3 linked regions of the Rattus norvegicus genome follow. The protein of the gene in region 3 purifies or fractionates together with the protein of the main gene of each other region. This does not show direct contact. Links are inferred from orthologs where the notes say so. Each region holds a gene or a part of one and is shown on either strand. Other genes may lie near its edges.

Region 1 (3,746 bases), about 220 Mb from region 3:
CAAACAGTCCAAATTTAAATTGAAGCAGGGTGTGGTCTCGCAAGTCTGTACTGTCTTCCCTCCAGGGACTGAGGCTAGAGAGCTTACGGCTAGCCTGGACTAGATTGTGAGAAATTCTGTCTGAACAAACAAAACAAACCGAGGTAGGTGACATACTTACAAATAACCAAAAGCAACTTGAAAGTCTGTTACCAAATGAATAAACCCTAAAGAAATTGTCCTTCGGAAATAAATTGAGAAAACAAATTTTATCTCGAAAAACGAGTGGTCCCCAATATGCATTGATATGACAGCTAATAAGGACTAAATGATAATAGCTAAATGAATGTCTCCATTGACACTCAAGTAATCTGTAATCAAATCTGGAGACGAAATATTATCTGGCATCTAGGTTCAATGCTCTTACTGGGTTTAAATCATTAATTCCTTCATTCATCCACAGAGTCTTGCATTGTGGCTCTGAGGCTCAATGAAACTCATTATCCAAGCCATGCTGGCCTCAGGCTCAAGCTGGACCCTCCTACCTCGGCCACTGGAGCACATCAGGCTCACCTGACATCAGTTCATCTTTTCTTCCTAGCCTTTTCATGCTTAATGACGGGTAATCTAACAAAATTTCAATTTAAGTCAAAGACTTGTTGGCGGCTGTGTTAATACAATGAGTACTTAATCGAGCGGAGGAAAAAAACAGACAGGCTCCTTCTTTGAATTCTTTCAAAATCTTCAATGTTTTGATAGTGGCAATGGCGACTAAGCAGACCTAAGTCAACGTGGTGTTTAAGCGTCGGGAGAGAAGGGTGGCCTGGATGTGTAACCTTCAGCATCAGACGCTCAAAGGACAGGCACATTTCCAGTAACAGCTTCATTTCCCCGCATTCCCCCGGGAAAGAGGGCGGCGAGTTCTGTTGATGGCATCAGCTGACATCACTGGCTGGGATCATGGGGACGCTGGGCCCACCTCAGCGGTGGCCTGACTGCATCAACCTCTGGGTTTCCCAGCCCCTGCCACGTGAGCCGCCCTAATATGGCCAGGCTCAGGAGCAGCCTAGGAGCGCTTCCTTTCTCCCGGCTGAAGGAGAGAAAGCTAGAACAAATGCTTAAAGTCAAACACAACCTGAAGAAAAGCAAATGGGGATTTAGATTCGCACCAGGTCAAATGCAAATCCATGGGCTGCAGAAGATCCAACCTTGGGTTATCAATCATTAAATTAAAAAAACAAAGCTTTTGCCTCCGCCCTTTCTTTTGCTGCTCCTGAACCTTCTGCAGCCCCAGGACAGACCCCAAAGCTCTTGTTCCCTTTAGTGACCTGAGAAGCCCTGGGGGCGGGGTGGGTTGCTGGGGGCCTGGTGGCGGAGTCTCTGGTCCTAGCTGCCTAGGGGGAGATGCTGCAAGGCGTGTCTGGGCTGTGCTCATGTGATGAAGGGAGGGAAAAACAAGGAGGGGGGAGGAGGCTACGAGGTGGCTTTTTTTTTTTTTTTTTTTTTTTTTCTTTTAAGGAGTTTGCCACGAGCGCGTCCCCTTCATTCTCAGTCCGGGTACGTTCTCAGCAGGATCGCAGAGAGCCGGAGCTCTTCACCCTTAGTCCCTGTGGTCCTGGGCGCACATCCTTGCCCTTCTGCGTCTCCGCGGTCCCAGGAAGGCAGCTAGCCGGCGGGAGTAGAAGAGCCACTGAGCCATGGGCGCAGGCAGTTCCACCGAGCAGCGGAGCCCCGAGCAGCCGGCGGGGAGCGACACGCCGAGCGAGCTGGTGCTCAGTGGCCATGGGCCCGCAGCTGAAGCCTCGGGAGCAGCTGGAGACCCCGCCGACGCGGACCCCGCCACCAAGGTAAGCTGCGGCCACCTGCCCGGGTGGGGCGGGATGGAGATGGGGCGTCCTGGCGGTTTCCGCCTGCCACAACTTCCCGGCGTTGCAGCCCATCTGCAAACTCGAGCGCAGCCCTTTGCAGTCTCTGGGGTCTTTTGCACCGGGGCGGGGCTGGCATCTTTGTGGAGGGTTTCTAAGGGCGGCGACCTAGCCAGCCCTTCTGCAGCCAGCAAATCTGCCCCTGCCCACTGTTCTCCAGTCTTTCTTCTCTCTTCCGGTGGGCTTGCAGCCTGCGGGGGTGGGGAGGGATGACCCGTGGGGCATCCATAAGAATTGACCGTGGCCGGGCATCTTAAGCCACTTTATACACCCCCTAGATCCCAGAGAGGGAAAGTCGGGACCTGCTTTGAAGCAGAGCAAACCTAGGTCCTAGGGTCCCCGCCCAGTGTTGGCCTTGATACCAGCCTCCACCCGGGCCACCAGGTTTGGTACCCAGAGTCCTGCGGCAGCGCCTGGGACACCGCCTAGCTGATGCAGAGAGCAGGCGTGTAGAAGAGAGAACCGGAGCAGAAGCACCAATGGAGAGATAGGCAAAGCTGGAGTCCTGTCTCCCTTTCTCACAGTTTGCTGTCTGTGGACTCAGTTGGATAAACAAACATAGGAGTTAGAAGTTCTGCATGGATGCGGGCAAAGGCTTAAGTGATCGTTCCTTGCACTCTTTCTGTAGAATTCACTGTAAAGCTCTAGAAATATGGCATTTTATAGGATGCTTGGCTTGAGCCTGGAATATTTGACCCTGCCCACCACAGCCTCACGTTGTGTCTTGCTCTCGTTATTGTGTTTTATTTCTGTCCCCTTGTTATTGTTCAGGGTTGTTAATTAATTTGCTCACTTGTTTTAAGACAGGGCTTCACTCCGTAGCCCAGACTGGCTTGGAACTCACTAGCTAGCCCAACTAGTGGCAGTCCTCCTGCCTCAGCCTCTCAAATGACTTTGTAGCCACACCCAGCTGGCAACGTATTTTAGCTATTTCCCTGCACGTGTTTGTGAGCAAGACCTCGCTCGGGTGGATTTATGGTAATCGTACAGAAACATGTGAACAACCAAACAACTTAAACGAAAAAACCACCAATTGCTGAATTTGGTGATCAAGAGCAGCGAGGACCTTTAGGAATGGGTCAGGAAGTGTAAACATCTTTGTGTGAGGACAAAACATTGAGATCCAGGTAAATCTCACAGAGATGGGATCTGATAGCTTTGAGTTCTTTAGTTGCCTAGTATAATGTAGGCTGAGTGGCCTATCTTTAATTGTTTCTGCCTCCAGTTTTTAACTCATCACCACTTGTAAAATCCAAATAAAGTCCTCCCTGCCTCAGACGCTCAGGTTTTCTGAGAGGCTTCTGACACACAGTCTCCATCTTTTGGATGGTTTGGTTACATTTTAATATTTGTCTAACACTCCTTTAAAAGAAAAAATTACTTTTTTTTTCTTTTCTTTTTTTCGGAGCTGGGGACCGAACCCAGGGCCTTCCGCTTGCTAGGCAAGTGCTCTACCGCTGAGCTAAATCCCCAACCCCAAAAAATTACTTTTTGAGGAGTACACTTGTGCATGGTTTGCGGGTGCTTGGGGGAGCGGTGGGGGAGCGGGGGTGGGGGCGGCAAATGTGTCATGGTGCGCATGTGCAGAGGTCAGCGCTTGTGCGGAGGTCAGAGGCCCGCTCTGTGGGGTTAGTTCTCTCCCTCCACCTTTATGTGGGTTGTGGGGTCGAACTCATGTTGCCAGCTTTGCACAGCAAGCACTCATTCTCGCTAAACCATGTCACTGTCCCTCACCATGTTTTGACGACAATCACCTTCCGTAACCTGCGTTCCCCTTCTCCATCAACCTCAACCACCATCTTGAAACACCCAAGCAGTCTCTTTTAAAAGATGGTTTTAGTG
Region 2 (3,730 bases), on a different chromosome or scaffold from region 3:
GAAAGGTACTTGGAAAAGACTCTGAGGACGGAATTATTAAGATGGCCAGCGTACTCCACTTATGACACCTCTCTTCCGTTATACTTGAACTCTCACCAGAAGAAAATATTTCTCAGGCTACTCTGGGACCAGGTCCACTTTCACTGCCATGCAATCACCAATTTGCACTTATCAACTGTAGAACTTCTGCGGCGCTAACTTTAAAAAGATGGCCGCACTGGCCTACAAGAGGGGAAAGCAAAGCTAAGCCAATCTCTCCACACTCACTCCAGCTCAGCCACCAAGGGCAGCAGCAACAGCTCTCTGAGGTCACAGGTGTCTGCTGCCTCTCTGCACCCTACCTTAGTGCACCCTACCTCAGTGCACCCTACCTCAGTGCGCCCTACCTCAGTGCACCCTTAGTGGCTTTGCCACTGGGTTTTCTTTAAAATAAGGTTTTCTCATAATTTATCTGTGTTTATTTTATGTGCGTTGATGTTTCCTCTACATGCCTGTCTCTGTGAAGATGTAGGGTCCCCTGAAAATGGAGTTATGGACAGTTGTGAACTGCCATGTGGTTGCTGGGAATTGAATCAGGGTCTTCTGGTACTGACTCATCTCTTTCAACCCTGACATCAGAGTTTTAAAAAGACACACACACACACACACACACACACACACACACACACACACACCCAGTCAAGAGAAATAAACTCGAATCTTGTATTTCCACAGAAACCAAAGTTGGCCTCAGTCCAAGGACCCAGTGGGAACTGGCAAATGCACTCTCTAATCTAAACCATATTTACACCTAAGGAACTTCCTAAAAATTAAATGTAAATATGTCACGGGACACTGGCCTTTGACCTTTAGCTCTACAGTCCTTGGCCTAAAGGTGTTTACGCGCTACAGAGGTCGCTCTTCTGGTTTCCGATAAACCTCTCAGAACACAGGCTCTGTTTCTGAAAGAACTTGCTGCGAGACCAGTTCACGCAGTTGCTTGTGCTTCTAATTATCTTGCTTCTCTAAACCGTTGGGGGAAAAAAAATCATAGTGTAAATAATTCAATACTAGGCATTCAGCTTATTCGATCAGTGTTTTGAAAACTAACAAGGGAGAAGCATGCTTCTTCAATTTAGAGATTATTTCCGCTCACAGTAACTTTGTTACTCCAAACAAAGGTTTAAAGGTTGATGCCACAAGGACCATGCAAGTCAAAGACAACAGTAAGGACCACTGCTGAGTCAAGATTAGGATCATCAAATCCCTTCCTTGTCCTCAGGTTCACTCCTGCGGAGCCCCACTAGACAGTAATGGCGCTGCATTCATGGCCTCCGGATATACGTGGAGTTTCATCAATTTTGTTTCATGGAGGATTTAAAAGGCCGAGTAAGATGCAAAAAAGAAATTTCTTTTTAGCACCGTACATCATGACTCCTTTTCTTGGTTAAGTTATGCTACCAAGAGTAACTCTCAGAACATCCAATCGCCCTATAGATCCCGAAAAGGGCCCCTGAAAACCACAGCCAAGGATGTCTGCAAAAGCAATTCCATAAAGTAATGTAAAAAAAAAAAAAAAAAAAAAAAAGCTGAAACGCCAACTTAAACACGTAATGGAAGCATTGCGTTATATTAGCAGGACTGCCTGGCCCTCTCAGGACTGCTCAGACTCCGTGCTTAATTAATACCACATGTTCCCTTTATCATTCGATTTGTTCTGTAGCACTCTTCCCAACTTGAACCCTGTTCTGCAAAGACAGGAGGGTAAATCCCCCCGCGACCTCCAAGAAAACTTCAGATCAGTAAATCTAAAAGGAGAAAGGGCAAGAATGCTCCCACCAGAAGGACCACACTTACAATCTGAGAGGTAACCACACCCACCGCATTGCAGAAGCTGTGAACTTGGCACCCGGTGCAGGGGGTAGGGGGAAGGGGAAGAAGTAGGGCGCGATTAGAGAGCAACCCGAAAAAGCAAGCCCCCCTGGTGCAGGAGCCTAGGCGCGCCACTCGCAACTAGTAGGGATCCGAGTCCTGCGGCCCCCCAGCCTCCCCGCCCCCACCCCTCCCTCGACCCGCAGTCCGGAGGGCGCCAGGTGAGCCGCGCCCGCCCGGGTGCACTGGTCTGCAGGCCCGGGCGCGTTCCCGCCCCATGCAGGGAGCCGTCCCAGGGGCGCGCGGCCGGCAGGTGCCCAGGCCCGGAGCAACCTGGCTGGCCGGCCAACGGCCCGGGGACGCTGGCCACTCGGGGAAGGAGGCAAGTTACGTAAAACCGGCCGGCCCCGCCGCGGAGCCGAGATGCTCCGAGCTCCGCCGCGCCCGCCCAGGGCAGGGACGCAGAGGCAGCCGCAGCCTGCAGGCGCACAGCCCCTCCCGCGCACAGTCCCCGGCCTGGCGCCGCAGTGTCGCCCCGAGCCCCCGCAAGCTCCGAACATGGCGCCCCGACCCTGGGCTCCGCGCCGATGGCTAGAGAGGGGCGCAGGGCCCGGTCGCCCCCGGGGGCCGGAGCTCGGAGGGAGGCCCCCAGGGCGGAGGCCGAGCTAGGCGAACGCAGCGCAGCGCAGCGCACCGGGGTCCCGGAGCCCCGCGCGCCTCGGAAGTGAGCCCCCCTCGGAGCCCCTCGGCCGCCAAGGGCAGAAAAGTTACCTGGGGGAGACGCGAAGGCCGGGCGCGCCGCGGCGTGGGGACCGGGCTGGCGCTGGCGTCCTGCTCGGCGGTGCGCAGGAGACTCCGCGCGGGAGGAAGCCGCAGCTCAGGGCTCCCCCGCCCCCCTTTGCAGGAGGCACGGAGGCTCCGCGGAGCTGCGGCGGGGCCCACGCCCAGACACCAGAGCGAGGGAGGCCAACCTCGTCCCGGCTTCCCTCCCGCGCGGGGGAGGGGGCCGCCGCAGTTCTTTAGGACACCTAGGTCCTCTAGATCCTAGCTCTGGGGACCGCGACCGCGTAGCAGTAGCCTTTGGATTTCACTTGGAATATTACAGGGCCTCTGGGTCCCCTCCACTCCCTTTGCAGAACCCCGCAGGGAGAGTGGAGAGAGGCTTTTTTTTTTCTTTGACCTTCCGGTGAATTCTTTATGGGCTTGGGAACTGCAGTATCTCCCCTCCCTGCCCCCAACCCTCCCGTTTTGAAATTGGAAGCGTCTTACACAGGTTCAATACTCCAGATATTTAAGTTCCTAGAGAAGACCCGAGTTAATTAGGATGGTAACTAGGTTTTGGGTCTCTCTGCAGCTCCCTCTTTCCTGGCATCTAGAAAGCTGAAACTGAAATGGAGAGAGAGATAGACATACATCCTGACTTGCTGGTGAAAGAGACTGCTTAGTTCTCTGGTCATCTCACACACACAACTGCCCTGTTTCTTTAAGGCTCCTAAGGCCTTTCTCAAAGCACCTAGTCACTGGCCTGAACTCCTTAAGGGAGGGAAAGAGATTCACGAACTATTGAATTTACTAATGGATGGCATAGATACACTGCAAAATGAATGTCTCCAGCAGAGATGTGTGGTGGCTCCCTCTGTGAGCAGGCCTGAGGAGATAGAGTCTTGGCCTGGGTATCTAGAATAGAGACTATGTCAGTAGAGACTATGTCCATTGCCTTGGCTGGAGAAGAGGGAACTTTGATACCTCTCTGGAAGAGAAGGTTAGGAAATTATGTTACTAGTCTGCTATAGAGTTTAGGGACTTGTGTTCTGTAGATGTGCACCTCTGGGAATTTAAATTCTGAGTGAAGTAGTCTGACATAAGCCATGCTTAAAGA
Region 3 (3,646 bases):
CTTCTGAAACAGGTCTCCTGAAAGGGAAGGCGAGAGGAAGGTCAGGTACCCAAAAGCAAGCCAGCAAAGGGGGACCCCGCTGTCTGAGCCTGTGGGAGTCGGCTGACCGATGGGCATCAGCTGGGCACTGGCTATGCCTGAGCTCGTTGAACCCAGTTTTGATTGAGCTGGTCTTATGAAGGAAGGTTCTTTTTTTTTTTTCTTTCTTTCTTTTTTTTTCTTTTTTTCGGAGATGGGGACCGAACCCAGGGCCTTGCGCTTGCTAGGCAAGCGCTCTACCACTGAGCTAAATCCCCAACCCTGAAGGAAGGTTCTTATGAAGAAAGCATACACATTGTATGCTTAGGGACAAAGGCCAGGGCCATGCCAAGTGGAATCTCAAGCTGTCAAGGGTCGTGGTGACTTCAATTAGGATTCATTCTTCGTAAGAATAGTAATCCTCTAAGTATGTGGTCTAAGCTACAGACATTACTGTCTCTGGTATTCACAAAGGTAGGTGAGGGACATGTGGAGGGGTTTGGATTCTGGGGATCCCTGTGGGAGGACACCCAACACACAAGAAGGCAGCACAGACAGACTCTGTGTTGACAGACAGACCCTGTGTTGCTGGAATCCTTCCTTGCTTCACAAAACAGTTCTTTCTTTCCCTGTAAGCCAAGGATTCCTAAGATTTCCTGACACTTCAAACAAGATACACTCCTAAGCCCTGTCACTCTAGGGTATTACGGCTTCAGAGTTCCCTGACCTCTGACCTTGAAGGTCAAAAGCAAAGCCCAGGTAAGGACAGGTCCTCGGCTTCCTCAGCTCAGCAGGATTTTGAGGGATGAAACCACTCCATCCAGCCTTGTAGCTTCCAGATCCAGATTCCCCCACTGGACTGGGCTGTGTAAGGACTGTCCCTATCCCAACTCTGTCCCACGGGGGCTAAGACCCGATCGGTACTCACTGAGGTGCTCGATGATGCTGTCGATGGTTGGCTTGAAGAGGGCATTCATTGCATCCGGACTCATCCTTAGCATGCCCTGGGAGGACCACTTCACAAAGTCCACACTGGGAAGAGCATCAAGAAAAGGAAGCTGTGAGTAAGTGCACAGTGCCAGGTTGATCTGCACAGATGTGTGGCCTGAGAGAACATCTGTCCCCACCGCAGGGATAAAAGGGTTTTAAAGTCAAAGGCATTCTTGGAAATTCCCCTGACCGCCTGAGCGTAGACCCTCAGCTGCTCTAGAGCTGAGACATGACTTCTCCGTTTCTCCTTGCTTTGTTGCTGGCATCAAACTCCCCCAGAATAAGGAAGGCCAATGTCTCTGTGACTGGGAACCAAGGTTAATAGTTCTAACTTTAGTGCCTCTCCCAGGGGAGGCTGTGAAGTTCAAGTAGATGCTATGCCCGTGAAACACTTAGCAATGTTTGATGTTGCTGTTGTTTGGGTTTTTCCCTAGTTTAACTTATGTTGGGGACTAAACAGTATTGGAAACCATTCATTATCCAGACTCTCAGTAGAGACCCCATCTTCCCCAGCCAGGACATATTTCCATGGTATAACCCAAAGGACAGTACGTGGTGGGGAATGACCGACCGTGTCTGGTTGTGACTGGCTAGTTTCCACACTGAGAGGGTTGGAGGGCCCCAGGGACTGTGTGCCCAGGACCTGGGATTTGACCTGGAGGGCAGGCGTTCTCTCCAGGGAACCAACAGGGCAAAGAAAACATCATCCCAGTAAGACAGCCAGCCTGGTGTGACCCTGTCTAGAGGGCACAAAACCTGAACCAAACCTACTGCTTCTCACTAAAAGGAATCAAGGCTTCTTGGAGAAACAGCCTAGTGCAGTTTGGGGGCAGAGAGTACGAGAGGTAAATCTGGAGAATCTTCATAGAGCAGAGGGCAAAGATACTTCAGAGACTGTTTGCTGTGTCAAAGGGGCTCAGAACCACATAGAAGAGGCCATTCCTGTCCAAGGTGGGACACTCAGCATCAACAAGACCATAGTTATTACACTTTAAGATATAGAACCCATGGTTAAGCCCACATTGCCCTACAAAATAAAACTCAGTGCCATCTTGAAGGATGCTAGGATCCACTTTATTTTTTGAGATAGGGTCTCACCATTCCATCTAGCCCTAGTTGGTCTAGAATTTACGATGCAGACCAGGCTGGCCCCAAACAGAGTCTCCTGCTTCTGCCTCTCTAGTGCTGGGATTGAAGTTGTATACCACCAAACCACTTTAAAAAAAATAACTAGAAGGATGAATAGCTATTTATTCTCTTTTCTGTAGTAACTGAACCACAGAGGAATAACTGTTTTTTTTTTTTAAGGAGTGTTCCAGGCACACCAAATAGAAAGGGGGAGACACAATAGTGAGGCATGCACAGGCCCATCCCTAATGAAATGTGGGCCGTGATCATCAGAGGACGCTAACATCCAACAGAAGAGACAAATAGATTTGCACATGTCCCCCGATGGGACTAAACAGGAACCTGCAGCAGCTGTGATCACCCACACCAGAACTGCCTGAGGTCAGGCTTTCAACATCCTGTCACGGGAGAGGCAGGATCATGAAGCCCTACTGTCCCCTAAGAGTTATAAGTAGTGATGGCTGCTGAAGAGGAAGAGATGGCCTTCCAGCGACACAGTAGTAAGGTGCTGTGTTTCTGTAAATAACTTCTCACCTATGCTCCTGTACACAGCTCTAATGAATTTGGGACACACACACACACACACACACACACACACACACACACGTAAAGGGGACTGGTTGTGAAGAGAATGGGACAAGAGAGGGTGATGAGGGATGTGCTGGCTGGTTTTCTATCACTTTGACACGGGCAAGAGTCATTTTGAAAGATAGAACCTTAACTGAGGAAATGTCCCCATCAGACTGGCCTACATTTATTTGCTTACGCTCTCTCTCTCTCTCTCTCTCTCTCTCTCTCTCTCTCTCTCTCTCCCCTCCCTCCCTCCCTCCCTCCCTCCCTTCCTTCCTTCCTTCCTTCCTTTAGTTGTTGCTTTGGGTTTTTGTTGTCTAAGACAGGGTTCCTTTGTGGAGCTCTAATTGTCTTGGAACTCACTCTGTAGACCAAGCGGGCCTCAGAGATCTGCCTGCCTCTGCTTCCTGAGTGCTGGTATTAAAGGCGTGCACCACCAATGCTCAGGTGGGCCTGCGTTTCCTAGTGATTGATCTGGAAGGGCCCAGTCCATTGTGGGTGGAACCACCCCAGATAGGTGGTCCTGGCTGACATAAGCCAACCATGAGGAGCAGGCCAGTAAGCAGCCCTCCTCCATGGCCTCTGCTTTAGTTCCTGCCTCCAGGGTTCCTCTCTTGCTTGACTTTCTGTCCTGACTTCCTTCTATGGCAGACTGCTACCTGGAACTCTAAAATGAAACCCTTTCCTCCCCAGCTTGCTTTGGTCATAGTGTTTTATTACAGCAATAGGAACCCTAAGTAAGACAAGAGGTAAAATCAGAATATACTATGCACATACATAAAAATGTCACAGTCATTACATATAATTACTGAGTGGTAATAAACATAAATTTATAAAAAGAAAACTCCCACTTATTAAGTAAATTTGCCAAAAATTCAAACTTGAATCTGCCGGAGATTCAATGTTTGTGTATTTGCAAAAACATAGCAAGGGACAGATT

Evidence for each region. The genes of interacting proteins can lie anywhere in the genome.
Region 1: the proteins of Hspa12a (region 3) and Akap12 purify together in Homo sapiens (affinity purification with mass spectrometry; 3 studies listed by BioGRID and IntAct, with this or other methods). This does not show direct contact. The link is inferred for Rattus norvegicus from reciprocal best matches to the Homo sapiens genes HSPA12A and AKAP12.
Region 2: the proteins of Hspa12a (region 3) and Epb41l3 purify together in Homo sapiens (affinity purification with mass spectrometry; 4 studies listed by BioGRID and IntAct, with this or other methods). This does not show direct contact. The link is inferred for Rattus norvegicus from reciprocal best matches to the Homo sapiens genes HSPA12A and EPB41L3.

The regions. Positions count from the first base shown.
Region 1 is NC_086019.1:43,133,995-43,137,740, forward strand, and holds the start of Akap12 (A-kinase anchor protein 12), read left to right. Parts: upstream 1-1,520; 5' UTR 1,521-1,676; coding exon 1,677-1,826; intron 1,827-3,746. UniProt on the Homo sapiens protein: Anchoring protein that mediates the subcellular compartmentation of protein kinase A (PKA) and protein kinase C (PKC).
Region 2 is NC_086027.1:116,582,358-116,586,087, reverse strand, and holds the start of Epb41l3 (band 4.1-like protein 3), read right to left. Parts: upstream 2,829-3,730; 5' UTR 2,623-2,828; intron 1-2,622. UniProt on the Homo sapiens protein: Tumor suppressor that inhibits cell proliferation and promotes apoptosis. Modulates the activity of protein arginine N-methyltransferases, including PRMT3 and PRMT5.
Region 3 is NC_086019.1:267,926,000-267,929,645, forward strand, and holds part of Hspa12a (heat shock 70 kDa protein 12A), read right to left. Parts: intron 1,051-3,646; coding exon 947-1,050; intron 18-946; coding exon 1-17. UniProt on the Homo sapiens protein: Adapter protein for SORL1, but not SORT1. Delays SORL1 internalization and affects SORL1 subcellular localization.